Linked DNA regions of Elephas maximus indicus. The protein of the gene in region 2 purifies or fractionates together with the protein of the main gene of each other region. This does not show direct contact. Links are inferred from orthologs where the notes say so. Each region holds a gene or a part of one and is shown on either strand. Other genes may lie near its edges.

Region 1 (7,934 bases), about 38 Mb from region 2:
CAACAACAACAACAACAATGCCTACCATATAGGTCTTTATGCATACCATTTCATCTTTGACGACTTCCAATTTTCCCAGATTCATACATTGTACATTCCACGTTGTGGTTATTAATGGATATTTGCAGCTGTTTCTTCTCATTTTGAGTTATGCCACATCAGCAAATGAAGGTCTTGAAAGCTTTACTGCAACATCATTAAGGTCGACACTACTTTGAGGAGGCAGTTCTTCCCCAGTCGTATTTTGAGTGTCTTCCAAGCTGAGGCGCTCATCGTCCGGCACTATATCAAACAATGTTCTGCTGCTGTTCATAAGGTTTTCATTGGCCAATTTTTTCAGAAGTAGACTGCCAGGTCCTTCTTCACAGCCTTAGTCTGGAAGCTCTGCTAAAACCTATCCACCATGGGTGACTGCTGGTATTTGAAATATTGGTGGCATAGCTTCCAGCATCACAGCAACACGCAAGCCACCACAGAACTACATACTGACAGACATTCATTGCAGATACCTTTTTCAACAACATAAACAGTGACTATACATGTGGATCTCACTGGATGGAAAACACAGGAACCAAATCAACCATATCTGCGGAAAGAGACCATGGAAAAGCTTAGTATCATCAGTCATAACAAGGCCACAGGCTGACTTCAGAACAGACCATCAGTTGCTCATATGCAAGTTCAAGTTGAAGCTGAAGAAAATTAAAACAAGTCTGCAAAAGCCAAAATGCAACTTTAAGTATATCCCACCTGAATTTGGAGACCATTTCAAGAACAGATTCGACGTGTTGAACACTAATGACCAAAGACCAGACAAGCTATAGGATGACATCAAGTACATCATACATGATGAAAGCAAAAGGTCATTAAAAAGACAGGGAAGAAAGAAAAGACCAAAATGGATATCAGGAGAGACTCTGAAACTTGCTCTTGGATGTAGAGTAGTTAAAGGGAATGGAAAAAAATGATGAAGTAAAAAAGCTGAACAGAATATTTCAAAGGGCAGCTTGAGAAGATAAAGTATTATATTGACATGTGCAAAGACCTGAAGTTAAAAAAGCGAAAGGGAAGAACATGCTCAGCATTTCTCAAGCTGAAAGAGCTGAAGAAAAAATTCAAAACTGAAGTTCCAATTTTGAAGAGCTTGTCTGCTAACCAAAAGGTCAGCAGGCGGAACCACCAGCCACTCCTTGGAAACCCTATAGGGCAGGCCTACTCTGTCCTTTCAGGTTGCTATGAGTCGGAATCAACCCGGTGGCAACAGGTTTGTTTTTATGGGTGTCATGGATTGAATTGTGTCCCCCCAAAATATCTGTCAGCTTGGCTAGGTCATGATTCCCAGTATCATATAATTGTCTATTGTCATCTGCTGTGATTTCCCTATGTGTTGTAAATTCCTATCACTGTGATGTAATGAGATGGATTAGTGCCAGCTATACTGATGAGAGCTACATGATTACATAGTATCTTAAGCCAATCTCTTTTGAAATATCAAAGAGAAAAACGAGCAGAGAGACACAGGGACCTCATACCACCAAGAAAGCAGTGCCAGGAACAGAGTGCATCCTTTGGACCTGGGGTTCCTGCATGGAGAAGCTCCTAGTCTGGGGAAGATTGATGACAAGAGCCTTCCTCCAGAGCCAAGAAGAGAAAGCCTTCCTCTGGAGCCGATACCCTGAATTTGAACTTCTAGCCTACTAGACTGCAAGAGAATAAATTTATCTTTTTTGAAGCCATCCACTTGTGGTATTTCTCTTTTGCATCATTAAATGTCCAAGACAATGGGGAAAATATTGAATGCTGCAGAAGGCATCAAGAGCAGATGGAGGAATACACAGAGTCACTGTACCAAAAAGCTTTGGTTGACATTTAACCATTTCAGGAGGCAGCATGTGATCAAGAAACAATGGTATTGAAGGAAGAAGTCAAAGCTGCACTGAAAGCACTGGTGAAAAACAAGGCTCCGGGAATTAATGGACTATGAAGTGAGATGTTTCAGCAAACAAATGCAGTGCTAGAGATGCTCACTCTTCTATCCAGGAAATATGGAAGACAGCTACCTAGCCAACCAGCTAGAAGAGATCCATATTTGTGCCCATTCCAAAGAAAAGTGATCCAACAGAATGTGGAGAGTGTCAAAGAATATCATTAATATCACACACAAGGAAAATTTTGCTGAAGATCATTAAAAAATGGTTACAGCAGTACATTAACAGGGAACTGCCAGAAATTCAAGCTGGATTCAAAAGAGGACATGGAATGAGGGATATCATTGCTGATGTCAGGAGGATCTTGGCTGAAAGCAGAGAATACCAGGAAGATGTTTACCTGTGTTTTATTGACTATGTAAAGGCATTCAACCGTGTGGATCATAACAAATTATGGATAATATTGCAAGGATTGGAAATTCCAGGACAGTTAATTGTACTCATGTGGAACTTGTACATAGACCAAGAGGCAGTTGTTCAAACAGAACAAGGGGATACTTCGTGTTTTAAAATCAAGAAAGGTGTGTCTCAGGGTGTATCCTTTCACCATACTTATTCAATCTGTATACTGAGCAAATCATTGGAAAAGCTGGACTAGATGAAGAAGTACACAGCATTAACACGGGAGGAAGACTCATTAACAACTTGCAATATGCAGATGATACAACCTTGCTTGCTGAAAGCAGAGGACTTGAAGTACTTACTGATGAAGATCAAAGACTACAGCCTTCAGTATGAATTATACCTCAACATAAAGAAAATAAAAGTCTTGACAACTGGACAAGTAAGCAACATCATGACAAACAGAGAAAATATCAAAGTTGTCAAGGATTTCATTTTACTCGGATCCACAATCAACACCCATGGAAGCAGCAGTTGAGAAATCAAAAGACGCATTGCACTGGGCAAATCTGCTGTAAAAGACCTCTCTAAAGTGTTGAAAAGCAAAAAATGTCACTTTGAGGACTAAAGTGTGGCTGACCCAAGCCGTGGTATTTCCAATCACCTCATATGCATGTGAAAATTGGACAATGAATAGGAATAAAGAAGAAGAATTGATGCCTTTGGTTTACGGTGTTGGCAAAGAATACTGAACATACCATGGGCTGCCAGAAGAATGAACAAATCTGTCTTGTAAGAAGTACAGCCAGAATGCTCCTTAGAAGTGAAGAATGATAGACTGTATCAGGAGGGATCAGTCCCTGGAGAAGGACGTCATTCTTGGTAAGGCAGAGGGTCAGCAAAAAAGAGGAATACTCTCAACGAGATGGATTGACACATTAGCTTCAACAAGGGGCTCAAACATAACGATGAACGTGAGGATGGCGCAGAACTGTGCAATGTTTTGTTCTGGTCCATTACTTGTGTGATTACAAGTTAGTTTAACATCTTTTCCACTAGGCATAAAAGCACATTATCCTGTCTCTCACTGCATCGCCAGTGCCTGGCACAGGAACTGGCATGTGGAAAGCAATAATCAAAGTTTAATAGATAAATAAATGAATTGGCAAGGACCCAGCCACCTCCCCCCACATTTTTTTGTAAATTTTAATTTTTGTATCATTTCAAACTTACAGAAAAGTTGCAAAAACTATATAAGGAACTCCCATACAAGCTTTACCTAGATTCACCAAAAGTTTGTTTTGTCTCATTTTCTTAATCATTCTCTATTTTTACATATATGCATTTTTTCTAAATCATTTGAAATTAAGTTGGAGAAACTGTGTCTATTTACTCCTGAATACTTCCGTGAGTATTTCCTAAGGACATTCTCTTAACATAACTACAGTACAGTGATCAAGTTCCGAAAATTTAACGTTGAAAAAATACATATTAATAGCTAACCCATAATCCATATTAAAATCTCATCACCTGTTCCAGTGTGGTCCGTTAAAGCTATCCCCTGCCCCCACCCCCAGTCCAGGGTCCAATTTAGAATTACACATCACATTTAGTTGTCGTTTGTTTTTAGTCTCTTTAAACTGGAACAGTTTCACAGCCTTTCTCTGTCTGTAATGACACTGACATTTTTGAAGAGTACATGTTACTTATTTTGTAGAATCTCCCTCAATGTGCGTTTATCTAATGCTTCCTCTTAAGGTTCAAGTTAGACATTTTTGGCAGAAGAGATGTTCTGTCCTTCTCAGTGCATTGTTTTCAGAGGCACGTGATCTCTACTTGAACTCCTGGTAATCTTAACGTCCATTACTTTGATCATTTGTTCCACTGTGTCAACCAAAAACCAAAACCGTTGTCGTGGAGTCCATTCCGACTCATAGCAACCCTACAGGACAGAGTAGAATTGCCCCATAGTGTTTCCAGGGAGCACCTGGTGGATTGAAACTGCCGACCTTTTGATTAGCAGCCAAACTCTTAATCACTACGCCACCCGGGTTTCTTCCCACTAGGTTACACCTCTGTAAAACTAATACTTTCCTTTTGTAGTTAATAAGTAATTTATGGGAGACACTTTTACAGTCTAAATAACCTATTCCTTTAGGATATTTGTTGGTTCTCTATCATGTTTATTAGTTGGCATTCTACTATAGAGTTTTACCGTCTTCTCCATTTATTTATTTATTCACTTCTTTATGTCAGCAAAGACTCATGAATTACTATTTTGTTCAATTAGCTATATTCCATTACTATCATTATGTATTTTGATGCTAAAATTGTCCCAATTTGGCCAGTGGGATCCTCTTCGAGTTTGCTTGTGTCCTTTGACATATGCCTATTATTCTAAGAACACCTCCTTAAATTCTGATGGAACAAGCTCATTCCACACTTTCCTTGCCCTAGCTCTGGTTATCAGTCTCTTCTTCAAAGAACCCCTACTCTAGCGCTTCGAAAAGCTAACCGCTTCCCGTCCGCAGGCGGAACCTTAGATCCGGGTCCTAGACCCGAGAACGGCGCAGCGGACCAACCTTTTCCGGTCGCGGCCGGAAGTCCTTAAGAGGGGCGGCTCCGAGTCAGGTGACTAGAGTTCGCGTAGGTGGGGTCGAAGGTCTTGCCACACGGACTCCTTGGCCGGTTGACTGGCAGGTCAGCCGACAGGCCGACAGGGTGGAGTGGCCTAGGCGGCGTTAGGTGCGCGGAGGCAGGTACGTGAGGGTCTGGGGTGGCGGGCCTGGCGAGGCTGGGAGCCGGGGACGTGGGACCGGGTTCTGCCTTCCTGGGGCCCACGGGCTGTGGCACCTGAGACCCGGAACTCGGAGGCAACAAGCACGGCCATGCCCTGGGCCTTCTGCCTCGGAAGGAAATGGGGCTAGCGTCTTGATTTTCCGTCCCGAAGAAGGGGAGAGACTCCCTCCAGCGCTCCCTTCCAGACAGGGACTGACCCTAACTCCCTTCGCGCCCTTCCACCCCCGCACGGGACCTCCTGTCTCACCGTGGGGTTGCTTTTAACGCGTTTGCCCTAGTATAGAGGCCGAGGCTAGGAAACGTGGTGAACAGAGTTGGACTGGGAGTCAGAGACCTGTGTTGGAGACTTCGCCACCTACAGTCAGTTGTGTGTTCTGGGCCAAATCTCCTTCCTGTGCTGGGCCTCGGCTTTCTCATTTGTAAAACGGGGTACTACTCGTCAAAATATGATTCTCACACCATCTGCTTCAAAATCCCCCGGGATGCGTGTTTTAAAATGCAGATTCCTGGGCCTCACATAAAACCTCTGGTTTAGAATCTGGATAAGAGTCGTGGGAATCCTATACGTACTCATGTTTGAAACCCACTAATATTAGGTGCTTTCTTGCTGGGAGTACAAGGATTCATTCTTCGCTTTGAGGCAGCTAGAGCCTGTTCAGGATCTTGAAAGAATTGTAATGGTTAGCCCAGCAAAGAGTGCACTGGAAGGGAGGAAGTGTCGTTAAAAAGCAAAAGGTTTTATGTCAAGGAGGGCTTCCACTTCTTTGGGACTGAAGGAGGCAGAACTAGTATCAGGAAGAGAAGATTTTGACTTAATAGAAGCACTTAATGGAAGAACCATCAGAGGTGAGCAGCAATGGAATAGATTGCCTCAAGAGGTAGTGACTCCCTGTTCAGGAGGTGTGTAGGCATTAGGTGGATGTTTTTTCCACCTTGAAAGTCTCTGATTCTAAGTAGTTATTTTGACCCTTTCTGGTGCTGACTCTACCCTCAAAGTACATGTGACTTCTTTTTTCTGCCTCTTTTTCTTGGATGACCCCCAACCCTGGGAGTAAAGCCAGTGGGTCTGGCCTTATGTAATCTATGCCTGCTTATTCTTTGCACCATCCCTCTTTTCAGGGACTTTGGAATGGCTCAACATCTCATAGGGGTTCCTTAAATGTTTGTTGAACAAATAACTAAGCAGTTCCCCATCTCCATCGTTTAATAGTTTATTTTCTTAGGACACCTTGGAAGTGCCCCCTTAAGATTTTGTGTTTGATCAGGTAAAGCCAGTGAACTCTTTGGGTTACAGAGTGGAGAAGTCTCAGTTGGAAGGACACTTTGAGATTGTGCAGGCCAGCCTTCTCCTCCCTCAGACATAAATCCTTCCTTAATCCTCTCACCAGCAGTGTGTGTTGTATAGATGTTGTGCAGACAGAGAGTTTTTGCAGTCTATTGGCTAACTTTTCATCCAGCATATGAAACCTGTCCTCTTACGGACTTAACCGGCCAGTTCATCGTCGCTAGTGTGTAATCTGCAGATAGTACTTCTGATATAACTTTAGTTTTCTAATCGGACACCAGAGTTCCTTATTTTGTGATCTGCAGAATTCAGAGTAGTTCACTTTTTAAAAGTCTGTTAGAGTGGTTAAGAATGCATAAGTTGCCCTATGGAGCCGAGAATCCATGTTACGACTCAATTCTGCTGACATGCAAAAAAAGAAAAGGTCGGAGTTGAGCCAAGACTTCCTGCCTGTGTTTATCTGCTTGTTTGTGTGTGTTTCCCATGTTTAAAAACAGTTGTGAAATGCTTGTTCAGATACTATCCAGGTGCCAGGTGAAATGATCTTAATTTGGTGGTTGGGAGATAAGTGTTTAAAACTTCTTAATCTAAAGGTTTCCTTTTTAAAGAAGTACCTAAATTAACATTTTCATGAGTGTGCTCTTCAGGTCACTAATCTGAAGATATGCTGCTGAAAAGGTGGTTCTGTGGTAAATATAAGTTCGGGAAAAGCTACGTACTATTATCCCTTCTTGAAATTTCTCAGTTTATAGTACCATATTAAAGGCACTGAGAAGTTTTGCAATAAAGAAATGTGTTTAACCTTGTTTAATACTGTCAAACTTATTTGAGTAAAACACTCTTGCTTTTTAAATGAAGCACACATTAGCCAGTTCTCACCTAGACCAGCGGTATGCAAACTACAGCCTGTGGGACAAATGTGACCCCACTGTTTTTGCATGGCCTGTGAGCTAAAAATGGTTTTTACATTTTTAAATGGTGGGGAATAAATCAAAAGAAGAATAATATTTCATGATATGTGAAAATTATAGGAAAATGAGGTATCAGTGTCCATAAATAAAAGTTTTCCTGGAACACAGCCCCTCCCATTCATTTATATATTGCCTTTGATTTCTTTAATGCTACAACAGCAGAGTTGAGCAGTGGTCACAAAGACCATACAGCCCACAAAGTTTAAAGTATTTTCTATATGGCCATTTCCAGAAAAAAAATTGATGACTGCTGACCTGTATCAGGTACAATTTTTTTAAAGTCTTTATTTTGAAATAATTTTAGATTTAAAAAAAGTTGCAAAAATAATACACAAATTTTTTGTATACCCTTTACCCAGCTTCCTACATAACCATAATAAAATTATTTAAACAAGGAAATTGACATCAGTACACTCCTAGCTAATTTATAGACCTTATTCTAATTTTTTCTATTCCGAAGTACAGTGCTATCAGTGAAAGGATAATATCCATGTGCCTATAAGAAAGACCAGTTAATACGATGATTGTTCAAATTTACGCATCAGCCAG
Region 2 (7,543 bases):
ATCAATCTTTAAATCATTCCCCGAAAAGGCATTGTACTCATTCAGTGGCTAAATAATTCCAAATCATGTAGTAGTTACCACCCTGAATCTGCAGTCATCCAGCCACACCACACAAGCCAAGTGTACCTGCACAGACTTATATGATGTGATGAAAGGGAGCATGAGATGGAAACCAGGGCCACTGGTGGAAGTCAGCAGGGCACCGCCTCTGCAGAGGAGGAAGAGAGAGGCAGGCTCCGTTAGCAAGAAGGCTCTCTTAGATACTTAAGGAATCAATACCACTTGAGCCAACTATCTCTTCCACCCCATAAACATTTAATCTAAAGTGGCACATGCCAGAGCCATATGCACAGATCCCTGTCTTTCGCTCAGCTCTACCCTCATATTCTAGGAAGCCTGATGGTAAAACGGAAAATCATTATTCATTTTGCAAGGAGAAAAATAGGCACACAGGCTACGTGGGATAAAGACGGAAGAATCTCTGGCTATACTTAGGCTGAGAGAGGAAGTCTGGTTTACTCTGTCATACCCACTGAGCTTTTGGCAATTTGTTAGGGCAGTTAAATTCAGTCATGTAATTATCAATTAACTGCACTAACGTTAGAGTCCAGTGGCATGAGAAAGCACAGAATAATTTTAACTACCCTTTAAAATCAATTAAAAAAATTTTTTTGGGCGGTGGGCAGCAGAGCTACTTTTCTAATCAAGTTGTATGTAAATGATTAACAAAATTAAAAGCTTTTTTTTTTTTGGTACATGTGTAAGCAGATGGAGGGGGGAAACCAATCAGTTTTGGAACTTGCTATTGGCAATCCAGAAATAAGCATCACAGGGCACACGGAAGAGGTTCATAAAAACTTAAAAGCAAAAAACTTGGTTATAAAGATTACTAAGAGGAAGGCAATCCATGATTTATGACTGTTTCTTTGGTTTTACATTGTGAAGTCAAAGACACTTTTTTTTTTTTTAAGAGCAATAAAACACACTGTGAAATGTTTACTGTAAGACCTTCCACCCTGGGACTTGCCTTGATTGGTATTAATCAACCTGCAGGTCCTTTCATTTTTCCAGAAATGTTAATTTTAAAGAGTAGTCCCCAAGTACCCATTCTTTAAATTAGCAGAGTAGGCTATCTTCTCAGTTTGCCATCAAGAACTGGGACTCAGCTGGCCTTGGTGGAAGTGACCTAGTAGCGTGAAGCCAAGAATCCCAGAGGGATATAGGAGAAACAATATTTCAGGGATGGTCTGCAAGGAGCACTGGTCTCCTTTAGGTTTTTTCTTTAAATCCATATATGCATATATCAATCACCATTCTGTGGTGTCATCTTAGAATGTTAAGCAAAGTTTTACATTTACACACATATATATTTCCCCATCTCATCACTGACACAAAAGTTCAATTCAAAAGACTCCCTTCTTCAACAAAATATAAACACAAATATTCAGCAAAGTCTGCCAGATGGTGACTAGGAAAGGGAGCCATTTATCAGGAAGTGGAAGCTTCTACCTGCCTCTGCCTTACCTGTAATATACCCCAATATGCCCCTCTTCTATCTTGTGCACAGCCGAGAAGAGAGATGCACAAAAGAAACTGGCAGTCACCGCCACAACTGCTCCCAGTTGAGCCATCAGTGAACCTTTATCCTAGGGAAAAGACAGGAAAACGTGTGTGGTCTGGTATGCAGGAGGAAAGCTGACAGCAAGAGTACCTCACAGAGTACCGTGACAGTGGCTCACACCCAGCCTGGCGCAGTATGAGCACGTGGCTAGATCTACAACTCTCTTCATCCTTGTTCTCAGTCAACATTCACATTCCTTAACCATAGGATTATACTCCACATCTCTTTGAAGAGGCAGTGGCTCCAGACGCTGCCCTGCAAGGGAAAACCAGTGCCAGTTGGGAAGTGTTCAGAACACAGCCTTCTCTTCCTGTGAACACCAACGTGCTGTCAATGGAGCCACCCATGCTAAAAAAGAGGAAGAGAGGCAGCTGCAGTACGTTGGACGAAATTACAGAGGATGTCAAATGACAGGCAGTTGTGGCCATGTAATTCTGGTCAGAGCCTCCCAACCCTAATTGCCTGCCATTTCAGAGACAACCATTATTTACTCCTTTCAGATGCTGGAGTGGCAGAGACAGCACGCGAGCAGAGTTCCAAGGTAGGATTCTCCGGCCTTTCGTTCACTTTCCCAGTCATTCTTTTGGCCTTACATGGGACAGGACTGCGAACAAGACAGCGGCCACACTCCCTTCCATATATACTTGACTGGCACTTTGCACCTGATAGGTCCCCAAACTCTTGGTTACATAAGAAAGGGGAGTTCCCGAGTCCAAGAGACTCTGGGGTCCTGGGTTCAACTGGTCAGGCGCCAGGAAGTGAAAGAGTTGGCCTCTAGAAGCTCGCCCCTGAACACTGATCTGAAAAATCTATGGTGACCGACAGCAAAGTTCACATTCTTGCATGTTTGGGCCTACTCGCGCAGGACGTGGATTCTGCCTTTGGGGTCTAACATAATTCGGGCGCAGTCTGCGAGGCGTTTATTTTACCGTGGTGGTCCCAGCTGCAGATTCGCAGCTGCGTCCTTTCTGCAAATGCTTTCCCTCCCCGAGGTCTCTCCAAGGCCACCCGCCCCACCTCGCGCCCCTTTCCGCGCTCCTCCCAGAGAGGCCCTGGCACCCTGGGTCGGGCCGGGGCGCCAAGTGCCTCCGCTTAGCCCCGCCTGGGGGCTAGCGGGGAGGGGACGGCGGGGAAAGGGTCTCTTTCGAGCTCCAGTAGTGGGCTGGCTGAACGAGAGAGTGTGCTGGGGCGGAGGCCGGGAAGATCGCAGATCAGCTCGAGCCAGGAGAGGTAACGAGGCCCAGAGCGCGCACTGAGACGGGGCGGGGGCGGCGTACCCGGATGTCCCTCCAGGCGCTCCGTACTCGTCCGAACCCCCGTGCAACCGCAGAAAACCGCCACACCCCTCAGCTCACTACTTCCTTCCGGGCCCGTCGCTCCGATGACGCCATCAGCTCACGCGTAAGACCACGCCCCCTTCCCCTCGCTCCCTAGTTCGTCCTCCCCGCCCCGCCCCTCGGGCTCTTGGTGGTCAGTGTCCGCCTATGGCCACCAGGGAGCGCCCGCGACTCGGCCCGGGCCGTCCCAGGGCTCCGTCAGGCCTTTGGTGGTGGGGCGGGGTTGAGGAGCGCCTGGAGGGTGAGCCTGAAGGAGGACGCGTGGGGCTGTGGGTGCGTAGGCTTGAGATCAAGGGTGTCACTTCCTGAGGTTTTGACTTTGGCGAATTCTCCAGGTTCCCCTCCATATTAGGACAAGCCACTTTGGGGGGGCACCTGTTTGTTTTTTTCGGAGCCATTAATAGAGAGTTGCAACCGCTCTAGCCTTTTGCTTGGTCCCCCTCCCATTGCCCAGCTGGAAGAAACAGTTTTTTAAGTATGCAGATTAGCACCATTATGTCGCCAATCAACAATTTCTACTTTGAATTGCTCTTTATGCTTTTCTGGGAGCTTTGGCCTTTTGAGGTCTTTTTGAGCTTCCAGAGTTGGGATAGTACCATAAAGTAGATTAAGCAGGAATTATCCCCGTTTTAATCAAGGGAATATAACAAGTTCAGTGACGTGCGGAGGTGGGAGGGTGGAGGTGTGACAGTCCATGAAAGCCTCCATTGCTCTACCTTGACATCTCGAGCCTAACTCCCAACGGTGTAGGGCGCCTTGTGCACTTGGTCTTCTCCCTGGATAGACTGTAAACTCCCTGAGAGCAGGAACTGTTCTCCTCAGCATCCCTGTGCTTAGGTGCTGAATAAATACGGGGTGAAGACAAAATGGAAGAGGACCAGAACCTAGACTTTGTGTCTCCTAGTCTAAGGGCCATGACGTCATCCTCATCCTTCTCTGCTCGGTAGCACCAAATGGAAGCATTTCTCATTCAACTACTAAAGTTATTTTGGCTGCAGAAGAAAAGGTTAACTCCCCATAATTACAGCCTCAGTAAATAAAAAGTTTTTTCAGGGAGGATAGCAAGCTGGTGTTGTTGGGCAGATTTAAAAAGCAATTGTTATTTAGTCAGTTCTGTCTCACGGTATGTCAGAGTGAAACTATGCTCCACATGGCTTTATTTTTTCCCCCATAGGGTTTTCAATGACTGATTTTTGGAAGTAGATCACCAGGCTTTTCTTCCAAGGTATCTCTGAATGGATTTGAACCTCCAGCCTTTTGGTTAGCAGCCAAGTGCGTTAACCGTTTACATCACCCAGGAACTTCTAGATAGATTTAGGGTTCAGAAAAAGGAACGTTAGGTTTTCCGGGCATCATGGCTCTTGGAATTGACCCATTCTCTCCCTCTGGGTTAGCTTTAGGTGAGCTTGTGTTGGGATGTTTAAGCATTATATGGTTAAGCCCACAAGTAGACTGGATGGTGCTGTCTGCGAACCCTGTACCCACCTCCTTTTCTGGAAGGCCGCCTTTTCTACTCTCACCTTTCTGAACCCTATCCGTCCCTGGCAAACACAGCCTATAAGCTGACCGACCCTATCAAAACCTGAGAGCTTTTTCTCTCAAGGTTCAGTGATTTAGCTTAGCTGAGTGTGCTTAATACATGTTTATTTAATAGCTGAGTGAATGAGTTAGAGAAATGGTTACACTGGGATCTATCAATCCAAGGAATGGTGCTTAGCCTGAGGCATAAAGGATTTCAAGTAGATTTAATTTAAGAATTTCTGACTGTTAAGCTTTGGAATGAACTTGAGAGGAAGTTGTGGGACTTTGTTCTCAAGAAGCTTGTCCTACGCCTGAGTGTTTCATTGTGGCTTTGCCTAAAGGCAGGGCGTGTACTTCACTAGATGATGATCTAACACTTCTGAAAGTCCCTTCCTTAAGAGACCTGTGATCGTTATGACTCAGTATCCAAAGTCACCAAGCAGAGAAGTCTGTGGTGATTAGTTTAACAGAAACCAAGAACCAAAAACCAAACCCAGTGCTGTTGAGTGGATTCCGACTCATAGCGACCCTATAGGACAGAGTAGAACTGCCCCATAGAGTTTCCAAGGAGCGCCTGGTGGATTTGAACTGCTGACCCTTTGGTTCGCAGCCGTAGCACTTAACTACTACGCCACCAGGGTTTCCAGTTTAACAGAAAAAGTATTTAAAAATTCATCTTCTAGCAACTTGCAGTATAGACTAGTGGTTAAGTACAGGGCTTCCAAAGCCAGACTGCCTGGGCTTGAATCCTGGATTCCACCTCTTCTTAGCTGTGTGACCTTGAAAGTAACCTATCTCTCCCTCAGTTTCTTGATCTGTAAAAGGGATTGCCCAAGATGACAAAGCTGGTCGATAGCAAAGGTGAAATTCAAATGATCCCAAATCTATTTCTTTTCCACAGTAAGTCAATTGAGAAATGAGTCAACTTAAAACACACACATGTGCCATATTCATTTCAGATGTAACCCTTCAGGAATGTATACCAGTGGTCAGAAATTGCAAAACTTCAAATTGAGCCAGTTTATTTTGTAGTGGTAGTTTGAAGCTAGGTTAAAAAAGCTTCTACCCTAGTAATGTACTACTTATAGAGTAGACGGTCAGCAAAACAGAGGAAGACCCTTAACCAGATGGATTGACACAGTGGCTGCAATCATGGGCTCAAACATAACAACCATTGTGGGGATGGTGCAGGACTGGGCAGTGTTTCATTCTGTTGTACATAGGGTCGCTATGAGTCGGAATTGTCTCAACGGTACCTAACAACAATAAGTAATCCACCTCTCTCTGTCTCTGGATTGCTTTTGTTTTAGTTTTCTTATTAAACTAATTGTTGAAGTGCTGCTGCTCCAAAGAGGGAAGAGACCCCCTTCTTACACAGTTACACCTAGTTACAGTCCTTTTTTGTTAACACCAAAGTTAACCCCAAAGGAACCAGATAAAGTATTTGGCTTCAGTTCTTTGTATTACAAGGCTGGAAGTTGCTGAAAAAAAGTTTTTGTTTGATTTTGATTTTTCCTTTTTCTCTATTTTGGGCCTAAAGTGAAGAATAGAGGTCATCCTTCAGGGCATTTGATCCCAGAAAGATTTTGGTGAGCTTGGGAAAGAGGACTGAAGGGTTATATCCTTAATTATTAGGAGGATTACATAGAACCTTCCCCTCTTGCTTTCAGTTGGTAAAACCAGGATTGCTGCCTTCTTGGAGTGAATGATATTTCTTTAAGGAGCCCTGGTGGTGCAGTGGCTAAGCACTCAGCTGCTAACCAGAAGGTCTGTGGTTCGAACCCAGCAACTCTGTGGGAGAAAAGACTGGCGATCTGCTCCCGTAAAGATTAAAAAAATCTCCCATAAAGATTGCAGCCTTGAAAATGCTATGGGGAAGTTCTACTCTGTCCTATGGGATCACCATGAGTTGAAATAGACTGGATGGCACACAACAACAATAACAACAATGATGTTCCTTCAGGGAAGTTGGGTGAAGGGATCAGAGAGGAATAATGATGAAAAAAAAAAAAGAGAGTTGGAAGTCAGTTGTAAGCCACCTAAAGATCATTTTGTGATTAGATTTTTGTTACAGCTTTGTCGAGGTATAATTGCCATACAATAAACTGCACAAAGTATACAATTAAGTTTTGACATATGTGTATACCTGTGAGACCATCACCACAACCAAGTTAATGAGCAAATCCATCATGCCCCCAAACATTCTCATGCCTCTTTGTAATCGCTCCCTCACGCCCCTCTCTTTGACCCCCTCCCCCATTCCCAAGCAACCACTGATCTGCTTGCTCTCACTACAGAAAACTTGGCATTTTATAGACTTTTATATAAATGGAATTAAACAGCATGTACTTGTTTTTTTGGTTTGGCCCTTTTCCTGCCAGAATAATGATTTTGAGATTCATCCATGGTGTTGAGTGTATCAGTAGTTCATTCCTTTTTATTGCTGAGTGTAATGTTCTGCTGTATGTATATGTAATTTGTTTATCCATTCACCTGTAGATGGATGTTTAGGTTGTTCCTTGTGATTTTAATCCAACCCATTTATTTTACTCATGTAGAAACAGCGGGCTAAGGGGAGGAAGTCTCAGAGAGGGGAATGGCCACGGTCCAAAGTGTGCTTGAGGGATGATGAGAAAGAGTACCTCTTTACCCTGGGAAACTTACCAACAGTCCTGTTAGTCTGAACTTTGACTTGCTCTATTTTGCGTGGCGTGACCTGTCCCTTGACAATCCCATCTCCAACGTTCCAACCTTAAATCGCTAACAACAGTAGGAATTTTTAATAAGAGTTTATGGAACTTCATGTGCATACATTTATCTGTACATCTCTCTATATCATTGATACATGACTTTTTGCCATAGACAAAGAGATACCTTAGCACTTGATATGTAAATCTCGGTGGATAAGGCAATGCACGTTGCCTTTTTCCACCTGGATTCTTAATCTTGCTCCTGCTGGATCCTCTTTCCTCAGGGACCCAGAGCCTTCAATTATCTTCTCTATCTTTACCTTGTTCTTTTCTACCACTTCTTTAGCCTCAGCCTACAATCTTATGCAAGTCTC
Region 3 (7,263 bases), on a different chromosome or scaffold from region 2:
CACCAGCAGGGCCTGGGAAGGGCACAGGGTCAGCGGGGGCCACCGAGACCCGCCATCCCGCCTGGAACCCAGGAGGAACCCCGTCAGCAGGGCCCGGACCGGGAAGACCCTCAGAAGTGGGGTGGCTCCTGGCTGCAGCACAAATAGCACCTGGCCATCCCCTCACACATTAGCTGAGTACCGACCGGGTGGAGCCAGAGGTGAGGGGTGCCCCAACACAGCCCCACCCCACCAATGCCTGCAGCCAGACAAGTCCCATGGCACCCTCTTGGGGACTGTGCAGGACCCCCCACCCAGGGAGAGACCAGGCTGGGCCTGACCCCAGCAGATGAAACCCACTAGCCGGGCATACCAACGCCACTTAATGTCTGCGGTCCTGCAGTGGCTTAGGCTAGGAGCTGCCACCTCCAGGAAGCCCACTGGTCCTATTGCAACTCCCTGAGCCACTCCAACTGGCCTCAGAGCTCCCCTGATGGCACCGGCTAAAAAGAAACCTCCCTGTGGAGCCAGGCACCCTCTGTCCCCACTGCCCAGGCCTGGCAGTCAGCTGGGACCACCAAGAGCACAGGGAACCTCCCAGACTGGTTGCACCTATGGCTAGCAGCCCTGCCCCATGAGGCATGGTTTTCTCGCCTGTAAAATGGGACAGCAGCAGCTCTCACCAGGTGATGCTGTCCCCAGAGGACACTGGTGATTTCTGCTGGTCTGCTGCTCATGGTGTGTCCAGAGCCCAACCCAAGCAGCTGACACTCTCCCCGCTCCTCCTCCAAGAAGCCGTCCCTGATGCTGCCAGCCCGAGCCGCAGGGCACCGTGGATGCTTTGCCACCTGGCAGGTCTTTCCCAGCCTGCCTCCCAGTGCCCACTGCTCTGCTTACCCAGCGACCTCACTCTGGCCCCACAGCTGTGGAGGCCAGTGGTGGGTCGGGGCTGAGGGCAGAGGGGTCTTCTCAGACCCTCCGGCTCCACCTCTCCCACACTCCAGCAGTGGGCACTGTATGGCTGTTTCCTAAAAACTGCCCAAGGCCTGCCCACCCCCCGGCAAGACATGACTGCAAAGGGAGGCCACAGCCACTGCAACGAGCATGCCTGACCCTGGGAGGGCAAGAAGACGAGGCTGAAGCTTTCTGGAGCCCAGCACAGCCTTCAGGTCACGGGTGCCGGGGGAAGGGTTCACAAGGAACAGAACCACGCATTCCAGCACTCAGGCGAAAGGAGGTGGTGGGTCAGGAGACTGCCTACGGTCGCGAAGCCTCCCTGCCAGAGCACGTCTGGGCACTGGCAGGGGTCTTTCAGCCCTGGCTCCATTCAGCCCCTTGCACACAGGTGAGACAGATTAGCCCTGACCTCTGACACACCTCAAATCAGGAAGTGATGCAGCCAGGGCCACATATGTGTCTTCAGGGAGGATGACCTCGGGGGACGCTCAGTGCTCCGGCCACTGAGGCAGAGGGTCCTGTCTGGATCCCCAGCCACCCTCAGTGTCAACCCAGGGCCAGGGTTCTCCTCCCTGAGGAAGCCACACACCCTGAGAAGAGCCTCTGCCAGTCGGCCTGACGGCAAAATGCCACTGACCAATACTCAGTCACAGGAGTCCCATCTCACATAGGAGAACTTGGGGTGCCTCCTCCCGGCTGGGACCCCATCCAAGTCTGTCGACCCACAAGGCTCCATGAGCCTCTTTCACCAAACCCCAGAGCCGCAGCTCCCAACTGGAGTCCACTGTGGACTCCTCGGGTCAGCCCCTCACCCACCAGCCATCAACGGAAACGAAAACGGCCATTTCGTTGCTTCCTCAGAAATGTCTAGTGACAACCGAGATCCCCTGCTCAAGCAGCGCCCCTGGAGCTCCAGCCTGGGTGGCTCAGCGACCTGGGCCAGCTCCGGGTCTCAGGCCGTGGCTCCCGCTGAGCAGGATCTGCCAAGTAAGTTGGCCTTCTCAGTACCGATGGTGGTCCCCAGAACCTGCCTTCACAGCGGAGCCCTCTGTCCATCGGAGGGGGGACAGGAAAGGGTCAGGGCCTTGGACAGCAAGGAGGGAGGAGAGCCTGTTCAACCAGACCCACAGGAGCAGGACTCCACAAGAAAGGCGCGGTGCCCACATAACTCCGACTAAGTCCGGCCAGTGACCTAACTAAGCTACATTCTCCTGCGGGCTCCAGGGAGAGGGCATCAGGGTGCAGGCAGGAGAAGAGACGAAGGTGGCGGGGGTGTGTCCTGAGGCACCAGGTTCCTGGCAAAGTCCAGGACTGGGGTTTAGGGCAGGTCAGGGCTGGATGGTGATTGGGAGGGCCGTCCTCCCAGGCTGAGGACCCCAGGCGTTGGAGGGCAGGAAGGGGCCCCTAGGAGGCCGGGGCCGGGGTGAGAATTCTGGGGTTGGGATCAGGGGGGTCCTGTAGGGTGCGGCTCGTGCCTTCCAGGGTGGGAGTCTCAGACCAGGATGGGGCCCAGGAATTGGGGTCAGCGACTAGGCTCAGCGATCGCAGGTTCGGGGGAGGGTCCCGAATCCGTGGAGTCAGGGGTCCAGGCCTCAGAGCAGGAGGGGTTCGGCGTCTCGGCGAGGATCAGGGGTCGGGGTCACAGGTCGGCCGAAGGGATCGGGGTCAGGGGTCGGGGTCGGGGGCCGCGGTCACCTTGAGCAACACGAAGAATTCGAAGAGGCGGCGGAAGGCGGGCGGGAAAAGCCGCGAGTAGGTCACTGCCATCTTGAAAAACAGCGCGTGGAAGAGCCGGTCGCGCACGTTGATGAGCGGGTTGGGGTTCAGGTTGGGGGTGCGAGGCCCGCGCGCGGGGGCCGGGCCACCGCCACCGCCGTTGGGCCCGGGCCCCGGGGCCCCGGGCGCCGCGTGCTCCGACATGCCGCCCAGCGTCGCGCCCTAACGCTCCGCGGATCCCCGAGGGCGCGCCCCGGCCGCCATCGGCCTGTCGCCGCGATCCTTACAACCCCCCGGCCGCGGCCGCCATCTTCCGCCTCCTCGTCCAGCCGCGGCCCTGCTGGTGCCAGAGAGTCGCTGCGCCGGGCAAGAGCGCCCCCGGCGTCCGCGGGGCACACTGGGATGCCGGAGGACCGTCCGCGGCGGCCCCGCCCCGTCGCTCGGCCGCTACGCTCGGCGGCGTCGGGGGGCGGGGCTGCATCCGAGCAGAATTTTTGCATATAGTGCCCCATAAGGCTCCGCGGCTGCTGGCTACGCTTGGGCGGTAAAATAGGCTAACGTCTGAGGATTTTAACGTGATCAAACACAGTCAAAGTAAATTTAACTAGGGGAGATATTGTTTAATATAGGGCTGTGGAAGATTATACTTAAGATATAACGTGTATATAGTTAGGCATAACTGTAAAAGTTATCTGGTCTTAGCCTATAAATAGGGATTCGGGGTGGCACCTGCTTGTGCTCGCTTCGGCAGCACATATACTAAAATTGGAACGATACAGAGAAGATTAGCATGGCCCCTGCGCAAGGATGACACGCAAATTCGTGAAGCGTTCCATATTTTCTTTTCCAGGACGGCGGCAGCCAGCCAGAGTGGACCCTGCCCGTGAAGTGACAGGGCCCGGCTATGCCCCGCCACCTGTGTCCTTAGAAACCGTGCGCGTCTGGGGGTATTTATCGAATGCCTGCTGCATGCACGGATTTAAGAGCTCCCAGATTTCGGGTTGGGGGGTCTCTCTTGCAACTGTCTTAGTTTTTCCCTCTGTGAGTCGGGCTGCGTCAGCGTCCATCTCGCCCCTGCACAGTCAGACCCTGGCTCCCCAGACCCCCGGCCCGGTCTGGCGGGACCAGCGTGTGTCCCGCTGCAAACTGTGTGCACCTGGCGACTGCAAAGTGCTCCAAACCCAGGAAGGAGTTCGAGCTGCGGACACGCGCTCCTCTTGGCTGCCTCGGAGTGGGACGTGTACCTGCCCCTCCACCAGCACCCCACTCCTGACCGCGCCTCGCAGCCTTGGACGGCCCACGGGGCCCCGGGCCCGGTGCTGGGTGCCTCCTAGCACCCGAGTATATTACTGCACCAAGTAAATGAGGATCGCTTACTGTGTGTTCATAAAGAAAACAAAAATCCTCACAACGGAACAATAAGCACCATCACGATAAATGGAGAAAAGATTGACGTTTTCAAGGATTTCATTTTATTTGAATTCACAAATAACACCCATGGAAGCAGCAGTCGGGAAATCAAACAACGTAATGCATTGGGCAAATCTGCTACAAAAAAAAACTCTTAAGAGTTAAAAAGCAAAGATGTCACGTTGAAGACTATGGTGACTGCCTGACCCAAGCTATGATATTTTCACTTGCCCCATATGCATGCGAAAGCTGGACAATGAGTAAGGAAGACAGAAGAAGCAACGCCTTTGAATTACAGTGTTGGCTAGGAATATTGAATATACCATGGACTACAAGAAGAATGAATAAGTCTGTCTTGGAAGAAGTACAACCAGAGTGCTCCTTGGAAGCAAGGACGGTGAGGCTTTGTCTCACATACTTTGGACATGTGGTCAGGAGGGATCAGTCCCTAGAGAAGGACATCATGCTTGGTAAAGTAGAGGGTCAGCAAAAAAGAGGAAGACCTCAACAAAATGGATTGACGAACAGCGGCTGCAACAATGGGCTCAAACTTAACAATGATCATGCGGGCAGCGCAGGCCGGGGCAGTATTTCGTTCTGTTGCGCACAGGGTCGCTGGAAGTTGGAACCTACTCCAGGGCACCTAGCAATAGCACTGTGTATCTGAGGAGCCCTGGTAGGCAGTGGTTAAGAGCTCCGCTGCTAACGGAAACATCAGCAGTTGGAACCCACCAGCCGCTCTGCGGGAGACTGTGGCAGTTGGCTTCTGTAAAGATTTACAACCTTGGAAACCCTATGGGGCAGTTCTGCTCTGTCCTACGAGGTCGCTATGAGTTTGAATCCACTCGATGGCAAGGGACTGTGTGTCTGGTGCTCAAGCGCCCCAAAGCAAGGCAGATTTGGCCACAGCAGGAAGCCTGGAAGGGCAGGGGGAGGAGAGGGACAGGCTGGCAGAAAGCAAAGACGTTTTAGTGGAGAGCTGGACTCTGGGTTAGGCACCCAGGCCTGAAAAGAAAAACGGAAAGGGTTCTGGGCAATGAACTTTCAGACTCCCAGGGCCTGTGCTGGGCTCTGGGCTCACAGTAGTGGCTGTGGGCCGAGAGACTGGCAGGGAGACAGACAAGGTGATGTCTGCCTCCTGACAGTGAGCTTCACGCTGTGATGGGCACAGAGGCCCCTGAGAGAGGTGGGGACATGGGCGGGGGTGGGGGAGTTGTCAGGGAGGGAGGAAACTTTCCAGCTGTGGCCTGGAGGCTGGAGAGAACCTTCCAGACCTAGCTGCTGATTTCATAATTACCTGTGCCTCCTCACTGGACACAGATGGACAGACGGATGGATGGGGCCCTCCCCTACAAAGACAAGAAAGCCAAAGCTGTTCTCTTCCTGTTACACAGGCCTTGTACAGGGCCTGGCATACAGTAGGTGTTCGCTAAGTGCTCAGCTACTAACTGAAAGGTTGGTGGTTCAAATCCACCCAGAGGCACCTCAGAAGAGAGGCTTGGTGATCTACTTTTGAAAAACCAGCCATTGAAAACCTTGTGGAGCACAGCTCTACTCACACATGTGGGGTCGCCATGAGTCAGGTCAACTGGAAAGCAACTGGTTTTGTTTTTCCCCTTAAAATTATTATGAATCAATAGAGTGGAGAGGGAGGGTGTGCTGTCATGTTGTAGGGAGAACAACTAGGGTCACATTACAATGTGTATAAGTTTTTGTTTGAGAAACTGATTTGAATTGTAAACTTGCACTTGAAGCACAATAAAAGGAAAAAAAAATTATGAATCATGCCCAGCTTATTAAAAAAAAAAATCATAAAGGGAGAAGAAATTGTCTTTCCCAGTGGAGAGACTGGGTGGGCATCCCCTTGACGAGGAGAGGAAGCCCAGCCTCACTGTGGGGCGCTGGGGGCCTTGCATGTGAGGCAGAGGACAGCTGCCAGGCCTCCGGGGAAGGCCAGTCAAGCCTCTGCCCAGTGCCAATAAGATCAGTGGCCACCTGGGGCTCCTGAGCCTGCAAAATGTGGCCAGTGTGACTGAGGAGCTTAGTTTTGAATGTAACTTATTTTTTTCTAACTTAATTCAAGTTTTAATAGCCATATAAGGAGCCCTGGTGGTGCAGTGGTCAAGCGCTCGGCTGCTAACCAGAGGGTCGGTGGTTTAAGCCCTCTGGAGAAAGATGTGGCAGCCTGCTTCCATAAAGATTTCAGCTTTGGAAACCCTATGGAGCAGTTCCACGCTGTCCTTGTCATGGATTGAAATGTGTCCCCCAAAATGTGTGTCAACTTGGTTAGGCCATAATTCCCAGTATTGTGTAGCTGGCCGCCATTTTGTCATCTGATGTGATTTTCCTGTGTGTTGTAAATTCTGCCTCTATGATGTTAATGAAGTAGGATTAGAGGCAGTTATGTTAATGAGGCAGGACTCAATCTACAAGATTACGTTGTGTTTTAAACCAATCTCTTCTGAGATATAAAAGAGAGAAGTGAGCAGAGAGACGGGGGATCTCATACCACCAAGAAAGTAGTGCCAGGAGCAGAGTGAGTCTTCTGGACCAGAGATTCCTGTGCTGAGAAGCTCCTAGACCAGGAGAAGATGGATGACAAGGACCTTCCTCCAGAGGTGACAGAGAGAGAAAGTCTTGCCCCGGAGCTGGTACCCTGAATTCAGACTTCCAGCCTCCTAGACCGTAAGAGAATAAACTTCTGTTTGTTAAAGCCATCCACTTGTGGTATTTCTGTTATAGCAGTCCTAGATAATTAAGACAGTCCTACGGGGTCGCTATGAGTTGGAATGGATTCAACGGCAGTGGATTTAAATAGCCAAATGGGGCAAGAGGCTGCCATATCAGATGGTGTAGCTGTAAACCTTACTTCCACTTGCCAGGAACACAGAGCCTCCAAGAACAAGTTAAACTTCACCACAAATGCAAACTGTGCACCCAACACCCTTAAAAAGTCACCATTAGTTGAAAGCAGGGAGGCAAACAGATCCCTGTACACCAAGGTTCACAGCAGCACCGTTTACAGGAGCCAAAGGGTGGAAACAACCCAAGTGTCCATTCATAGATGACGGGTAAACACAGTGTGGTCCATCCACACGATGGAAGATTTATTCAGCCATTAAAAGGAGTGAAGCTCTGATACACGCTACAGTGTGGATGAACCCTGAAAATGTGATGCCCAGTGAGAGAAGCCAGACACGA
Region 4 (7,439 bases), on a different chromosome or scaffold from region 2:
CAGAGAATTGCCCCACAGGGTTTCCCCAGGCTGTAACAGTTAGGGAAGCAGACTGCTAAATCTTTCTCCTGTGGAGCAGCTGGTGGGTTCGAACCACTGGCCTTTGGGTTAGCAGCCAAGCACTTTAACAACTGTGCCACCTGGACCCCTTAAGATGCTAATAGATTTGTATCATTCCAAAATTGTACTCTACAGAGATAACTTGTAGAGAGATGCCAATATGTAAAATAATAGCTTGCAGGATTTGCAGAAGGAGCTGTTTTTTGTTTTCTCTCCTTTGGCCTTAGTGGGCAGGGTTTTATAAAAAACTGAATCTGAATGCCTCAGGCAGGGCACCAAAAGGATCCATTTCCACAACGGACCCACCACATATTTACTCAATAATGTTATCTGTCAGGCCACCAAAGGCTTTTGACCTTGTGAACCCTACTTGGCTGCTAAAGCAGCAACTAAATGGGTAAGGAGGAAAACTTACAGAGCACACATGCAGAGTCTCAGAAACCACAGAAGGCCAGCATGAACACGTGAAAACCAAAGAAAAAAGGTGGAAAACGGTTAAGAAGATCAACTGAGAAATGAAGGTATTATCAACAGATAGGAAGAAATGATAAGGTTACGTGAGGCAACACTGCTACTGAAAAAGCTGAGAAGAAAGAAATTTTCTTAAAAATAATTTTCACAGAAAAATCAACAGATTTTACATAGTATTTGATGAAGAGGTATTAACCTTGGAATCTGAACACCGGCTTTGTAAGAAGAAACTCCTAAAGGAAAAAAAAATCATTAAACAATACTAGTGGTTGTTATATAAGTACAATAGCAGTTCTTTCTCAAAGGCTTTTTTATATCTCTGACTTAAAAAATATATCAAAGACTACATTATAATCTTAACATTTGTCAAAGGCACTCTTCACTTCAAATTGTTTACCTGCCAACTCAAATGCAAAAGCAGATTTGAGAGCAAGAGATGAGTTCTCTCTCTTCTCCAGTCTTTGGCAGCTTTACACAGCCGTAGAGGAATGGAACTTCACCCTTCATCACCTTCTAGTAATCTCTACATCAGAAGGACCAGGAGACTTCATTCCACAGCCCCCAGAATTCATAAATCCCACTGCTTCCTGATGAAGCACAGTGGGATTAATTATAACAAATGAGTTGTATATCATTCTATCAGCCTGGAATATTAATCCCTCAGTCATTTACAGGCTACTTTCAACCTCAAAAGGTTAAGCACTTGGCTGCTAAGGAAAAGGTTGGTGGTTTGAACTCAACCAGTGGCTCCGTGGGAGAAAGACCCGACTATCTGCTTCCCTTCCCTAAAAGATTACAGCCTAGAAAATCCTACGGGGCAATTCTACCCTGTCACATGGAGTCTCTATGAGTCCAAATCCACCCGACAGCACACAACAACTCAAGCCCAAATGGGAACCTGAGAAAGAGACAAGATCCAAAACGCGGATGTAAAACCCCCAGTGACTAAATCTTGGAGTCACTTTTCTGATCACTGTGGAGTTTATATAACAGGCATTCAAAGTCCAGGTGGAAGCAAAATTCTTTAGCCAAAATACAGTTGACCTGCCCAGCCTGAAATTATCTGTTTTCATAAATGAGACAAACACGTATGCCTTGTAAATGCTGCTTATCTTGCACTGGCAGGCAAGCTGGAAGTCTTGTTTTAAAATGGATCACTAGAAGGAGAAATCCCAAGTTAAAATAAAGAGCAGCCTCTTGACCCCGAATGCTGTGTTACCCTGCTTCCAACATCAAAGAAAACCGTCATGAATCATCAGGTAAGGGCAGCAAGAGACGAAGCACAGTTGTGTCCTTTTTTTTTTTTTTAAAATAAATAGCACCCAAAGAAGACGAGCAAATACCAAGTGGCAGTAAAAAGTTGTGAGAGACGGCCGCCCTCCCAACAGCAATGTCCAAACACAACGAAATGCCTAAAATTCCCCCATACTCAGCTTCTGAATTCTCCCATCCCTTGTAGCTATGAGTCGGAATCGACTGCACAGCAGCGGGTTTGGGTTTTGGGTTTGTTTGTTTTGCCCTGTCCTTTTCACTGGAAACCCGCTAATAACTTACTCATGCCAGACCCAGTCAGAAAAGCCTTTCAACTTCTGTCCACTTACTCTAACGCTCCCAGTAGCTGACTCCTGATCCTCACCTCCCCGCTGAACCTGACCTGAGGTCTTCTGATTTCCTTCCCCAGGGTCCCTCAGATACCCCACCCTGTCCCCACCTTTTACTTGCACCCCTTCCTCCCCCGAGTACCCTAACCCCTTCCCTGCCGTCCCTGCGCTGTCTCCCCTGCCCCGGGCCTGGCCTCTTCGACCCGCGCGCGCCCCCACCACGCCTCCTGGACACCTTCCTCAAGCCCCCAACTTCCTAGGGCCGCCCCCTCCTCACGCCCTCACCCCATCTTCTGCCCACCGCGGGCCCACTCCAACCCCTCAACCCTCTCCTTCCGCGAGCGCAGTCTCGGTCCCCCGGCCCCAGGCCCCCGCACACGGTGGTCCCGTGGGGAGGCCACGCCCCCCATGGATAATGGGTGACGGGGCGCCCCCGCCCCGCTTGGCCCGTCCACCTCTGCGGGGCCAGTGGCAGCCTCGCTCACCCAGACGAAGAGGCTGTCCGAGAGTAGGTACTGGGCCACGTCGCGGGCCCGGGGGCCCCCGGCGTCCGCCCGGCTGGGAGCGGGCTGCTCCGACTCGCCGGGCCCGGGCCCGGGCCCGGCCTCGGCCTCGGGCTGGCTGAGGGCGCGGTAGGCGCTGACGATGGTGCCGAGCAGGGCCAGGCCGCTGAGGCCCGTGTAGGTACGGAGGCTGGGCCAGGGGAAGCGCTCGAGGAAGAGCAGCGGCATGGCGGCAGCGGCGGCCTCCAGACCCCAGGCCTCCCCGCGCTGCGGCCGGGCTTCTGCGGCGGCCTCGCGAAAGGCGCCCGCGGCCTCTGGCGTCGCTCCCGCCGCCGCTGCCGCCGCGCCAGGCCAGGCCGGGCCTCTCCCGGCCGTTCGCGCCGCTCGGCTCCGCCCCGCGCCGCTCCCGCTGCTGCCCCTGCCGGCGCAGAAGAGCGTCGGCGGGCTCGGGGCGGGCTGCCGCTTCCAGCGGGGCGCGGGCCGGACGGGCGCGGGGGCGCGGCTTCGTCCCCCGCCCCCTGCCCAGCGCGGCCGCGCTGCCGCCTCCCAGGCCTGGGCCTGGGCCCGGTCCCCGAGAGCCGGCACCCAGCTTCATCCTCCACCGAGTCACCGGCTCGGCCGGGCCGGCGGGCGTGCAGGACACCAGCCCCGGTCCGAGCCAAGGCCGTGACTCAGGCCCTGGGGCGCTGACTGGGCGGCCCAGCCCAGGCCGCGTGGCTGCCCCTCGGGACGCGGGAAAGCCCGGCCACCAGGCCTGCAGCCACTTGCCCTTGGTACCCCTGTGGGCCTAGACTTCCCAGGTGCCTGAAAGAGGAGGCAGTGCTTGGGGAATAATAGAGACCGTGATCACAAAAGCAAGAGTATTAATCTGTAGTCTTAAATTTCTCTGCAATAAATTGTGTTAAATTTCTGCCACTTGCCAGTATTATAGTCTCTATCACAATCTAAAACGAACCTGATTTAGCACGAAATAAAAATGTGTCCCTTCATACACTGCTGGTGGGAATGTAAAATGGTGCAGCTACTTTGAAAAACAGTCTGGCAATTCCTTAAAAAGTTAAACATAAAGTTATCATTTGTTGCAGCAGTTCCACTCTTAGGTATATACCCAAAAGAAATGAAAACATACCAACCACACAAAATCTGTACACATGTTCACAGCAGCAGCAGCTCTAATAATCAAAAGTCCTTATTCATGATACATGGACAACCTGAAAGTCCATCAACTGATGACCGGGTAAACAAAGGGTGCTATATCCATGTTGCCCTGTGTCATCTATTCCAACTCATAATGGCCCTATAGCACAGGAAGGGTTTCCTAGGCTGTAATCTTTACCTGAGCGGATCCCCAGGTCTTTTCTCTGGCAAAGCCAATGGTGGGTTTGAACAGCCAACATTTCAGCCAGCAGCTGAGTGCTTAACCACTGCGCCACCTGGGTTATTTGGTATAGCCATGCAATGGAATATTATTTGCCTTAAAAAAGAATGAAGTACTGATACATGTTATTTGTAAATCATAATTTTCAAGGTTTAACAATTGAGATTGATAAACCTTGAAAACATCATGCTAATAAAAGAAGCCAGACACAGAAGGCCACATATTGTATGATTCCATTAATATGAAATGTCCAGTATAGGCAAATCTATAGAAACAAAGTAGGTTAGTGGTTGCTTAGGGCTGGGGGATATAGGTGACTGGTGCTGTGGGGTGACGGCTAAAGGATACAGAGTTTCTTTTTGAGGTGATGAAAATGTTCTGAAATTGATTGTGGTGATGGTTGTCCAACTTTGTGAATATATGAAAAACCATTGTATTGTACACTTTAAATGATGAATTATCCCAATACATAAAGTATATCTCAATAAAGCTATTACAAGAAAAAAAAAGTTACAAAAAATTTTTTTTCATTATCTTGGAGTCTTATTCCTCAAATAATGCTTGGCCCAGAGTAGGTCTAGGTGGGTGCAGGAGGTGCCACCTGTACCTGGGTGTCACTGTCCCTCAGAGGGGTGACACCAAAATGACCGTCTATAAAATTTTTGTGCATTGTTTCAGCAGAAATTTTTTATAAAAATATCCCTGTAAAAATGGTACTGGTGAGGAGTGAGCTTCTTGGATCAAGTAGACGCATGAGACTATGTGGGCAGCTCCTGTCTGGAGGAGAGATAAGAAGGCAGAGGGGGGCAGAAGCTGGCTGAATGGACACGGAAACAGGGTGGAGAGAAGGAGTGTGCTGTCCCATTAGGGGGAGAGCAACTAGGAGTATACAGCAAGGTGTATATAAATTTTCCTATGAGAGACTGACTTGATTTGTAAACTTTCACTTAAAGCACAATAAAAGTTAAAAAAAAAAAAAAAATTCCCCATAGCTAAACCACAAAAAAAACTTTTTGTTAAGCTCAGTTTACATGTATGTATCAATATACCTGCAAGGCTAGAATTCTATGCTAATTGACTTTTTGAACTTTCTAATGCCCTTTGGAAACCCTGGTGGCATAGTGGTTAAGAGCTATGGCTGCTAACCAAAAGGTTGCCAGTTCAAATCCACGCAGCGCTCCTTGGAACTCTATGGGTCAGTTCTACTCTGTCCTATAGGGTTGCTATGAGTTGGAATCGACTCAACAGCAACAGGTTAATGCCCTTCAGTCAGAGTTGCCATTATTATCCGGGTACAATGATGCTTCAAATCATGTAGTTTCATCTCCACGCTATAAGCACTGCTGTCGTTTTCATTCCTGCCGATGTTTTTATAGTTACTGATTTTGTCAAATTTTCCAGTGTTCTAGCTATAGTATTTGTGAAATTATATCAATAATTTTTTTGAGAAAGAAGCAGTAATTAAAGGAAAAGAAGGAGTGATATACAGGAATTATGATTTACAAGTAACATTAGTACAAAAACATTACAAAGGATTCTGTACAGCCTAGTACAGGAGGAGGTGGGGGGTAGCACCATGAGTTACCACACTGGGTAACACCAATCCTAGTGATGCCACTGGTAGGTCCTCAGTAAATATTTGCTCAATCAAGAGGAAAGGACTAAATTATTTGTAAGATCTCTTTCAGGCTAAATAGTCTAAGAGTCTATTAATTAGATACCAAAGAAGGTCTCTCAAGGTTGTTACCAACCACTTTGAAACTTTTAGAAACGTTTTACTAAAGGGTCTATGATGGGACCTCACAGTTTGGTTTTACTGGAGGTCAATTTATACACACACATATTTTATACGAGATCTACAGGAATATTAGACTCCAGTTCCTTTTGGTTGTCTATCCAAGGCCATTTGATTAAAATGCTAAATGTTCTATTTTCTTGATAAAGAAAAGCTTTATTTTGGAAAAACGATGATAGTAATTTTCCAGGGAAGAAAGTGTTCTACTTTATAGGTCAAGATCTGAGCCATGATAATGTTTAAACCACACTAACAGGCGATCCATATTCAATCCAAGTCAAAATATAGGCAGTTACAAAATACTACACCCTATACTTGCATAAATATGGAAGAGATCAATATTTGTGCCTATTCCAAAGAAAGGGGATCCAACAGAATGCAGAAATTATCAAACAATATCATTAACATCACACACAAGTAAAATTTTGCTGAAGATCATTCAAAAGAAGCTGTAGCAGTATATCGACAGGGAACGGCCAGAAATTCAGGCTGGTTTCAGAAGAAGACATGGAACCAGGGATATCACTGCTGTCAGATGGGTCCTGGCTGAAAGCAGAGAATACCAGAAGGATGTTTACCTGTGTTTTATTGACTATGCAAAGGCATTCAACTGTATGGACCATAACAAATTATGGATAACATGGCAAAGAATGGGAATTCCAGAACACTTAATTGTGCTCATGAGGAACCTGTACCTAGATCAAGAGGCAGTCATTCAGATAGAACGAGGGGATACTGCGTGGTTTAAATCAGGAAAGGTGTGTGTCAGGTTCATATCCTTTCACCATACCTATTCAATCTGTATGCTGAGCAAATAATCCAAGAAGTTGGACTATATGAAGAAGAATGGGGCATCACAATTGAAGGAAGACTCATTAATAACCTGCACTTTGCAGATGACACGCCTGGCTTGCTGAAAACAAAGAGGACTTGAAGCACTTACTGATGAAGATCAAAGACTACTGCCTTCAGTATAGATTACAACTCAACATAAAGAAAACAAAAATCCTCACAACTGGACCAATAAGCAACATCATGATAAGATGGAGAAAATATTGAAGCTGTCAAGGATTTCATTTTACTTGGATTCACAATCGACGCCCAAGGAATCAGCAGTCAAGGAATCAAACAACTGAGATCACAACAGAGTGTCCACGACAGAGCCGAAAATTGTAGAACAAAAATCAAATTCACAAAAAAGACCAGGCTTCTTGGTCTGCCAGAGACTGGAGGAACTCCAGAGAGTATGGCCCTAAGAACACCCTTCTGGAACGGAAGCCATTCCTGGAGACCACCTCCCAGCTAAACAATAGACAAGCACATAAGATAAACAAAATACCCAGGAGGAATGTACTCCTTGGAAAAATCAATTACGACATCAAAAGAGCAGTACTTAGCCAAAAGCAGATGAGAAGGCAGGAAGGGGTAAAAATCATGATGAAAGAAAATGTGGAATCCAGGGCAGAAGGAAACCCTGGTGGCATAGCGGTTAAGAGCTACGGCTGCTAACCAAAATGTTGGCAGTGTGAAATCAACAGGTGCTCCTTGGAAACCGTATGGGGCAGTTCTACTCTGTCCTATGGTGTCGCTATGAGTCAGAATTGACTGGACAGCAATGGGTTTGGTTTGGT

What was found.
Region 1: the proteins of ERLIN2 (region 2) and RNF185 purify together in Homo sapiens (affinity purification with mass spectrometry; 5 studies listed by BioGRID and IntAct, with this or other methods). This does not show direct contact. The link is inferred for Elephas maximus indicus from reciprocal best matches to the Homo sapiens genes ERLIN2 and RNF185.
Region 3: the proteins of ERLIN2 (region 2) and TMEM259 purify together in Homo sapiens (affinity purification with mass spectrometry; 3 studies listed by BioGRID and IntAct, with this or other methods). This does not show direct contact. The link is inferred for Elephas maximus indicus from reciprocal best matches to the Homo sapiens genes ERLIN2 and TMEM259.
Region 4: the proteins of ERLIN2 (region 2) and AMFR purify together in Homo sapiens (affinity purification with western blotting; 4 studies listed by BioGRID and IntAct, with this or other methods). This does not show direct contact. The link is inferred for Elephas maximus indicus from reciprocal best matches to the Homo sapiens genes ERLIN2 and AMFR.

Annotation. Positions count from the first base shown.
Region 1 is NC_064840.1:25,069,368-25,077,301, reverse strand, and holds the start of RNF185 (E3 ubiquitin-protein ligase RNF185), read left to right. Parts: upstream 1-4,918; 5' UTR 4,919-5,089; intron 5,090-7,934. UniProt on the Homo sapiens protein: E3 ubiquitin-protein ligase that regulates selective mitochondrial autophagy by mediating 'Lys-63'-linked polyubiquitination of BNIP1.
Region 2 is NC_064840.1:62,937,324-62,944,866, forward strand, and holds the start of ERLIN2 (erlin-2), read right to left. Parts: upstream 3,003-7,543; 5' UTR 2,899-3,002; intron 2,890-2,898; exon of another isoform or gene 2,551-2,889; intron 2,163-2,550; exon of another isoform or gene 1,874-2,162; intron 1,663-1,873; exon of another isoform or gene 1,647-1,662; 5' UTR 1,632-1,646; coding exon 1,525-1,631; intron 209-1,524; coding exon 127-208; intron 1-126. UniProt on the Homo sapiens protein: Component of the ERLIN1/ERLIN2 complex which mediates the endoplasmic reticulum-associated degradation (ERAD) of inositol 1,4,5-trisphosphate receptors (IP3Rs) such as ITPR1.
Region 3 is NC_064821.1:739,075-746,337, forward strand, and holds the start of TMEM259 (membralin), read right to left. Parts: upstream 3,017-7,263; 5' UTR 2,857-3,016; coding exon 2,632-2,856; intron 13-2,631; coding exon 1-12. UniProt on the Homo sapiens protein: May have a role in the ERAD pathway required for clearance of misfolded proteins in the endoplasmic reticulum (ER). Promotes survival of motor neurons, probably by protecting against ER stress.
Region 4 is NC_064839.1:23,462,095-23,469,533, forward strand, and holds the start of AMFR (E3 ubiquitin-protein ligase AMFR), read right to left. Parts: upstream 3,017-7,439; 5' UTR 2,864-3,016; coding exon 2,618-2,863; intron 1-2,617. UniProt on the Homo sapiens protein: E3 ubiquitin-protein ligase that mediates the polyubiquitination of lysine and cysteine residues on target proteins, such as CD3D, CYP3A4, CFTR, INSIG1, SOAT2/ACAT2 and APOB for proteasomal degradation.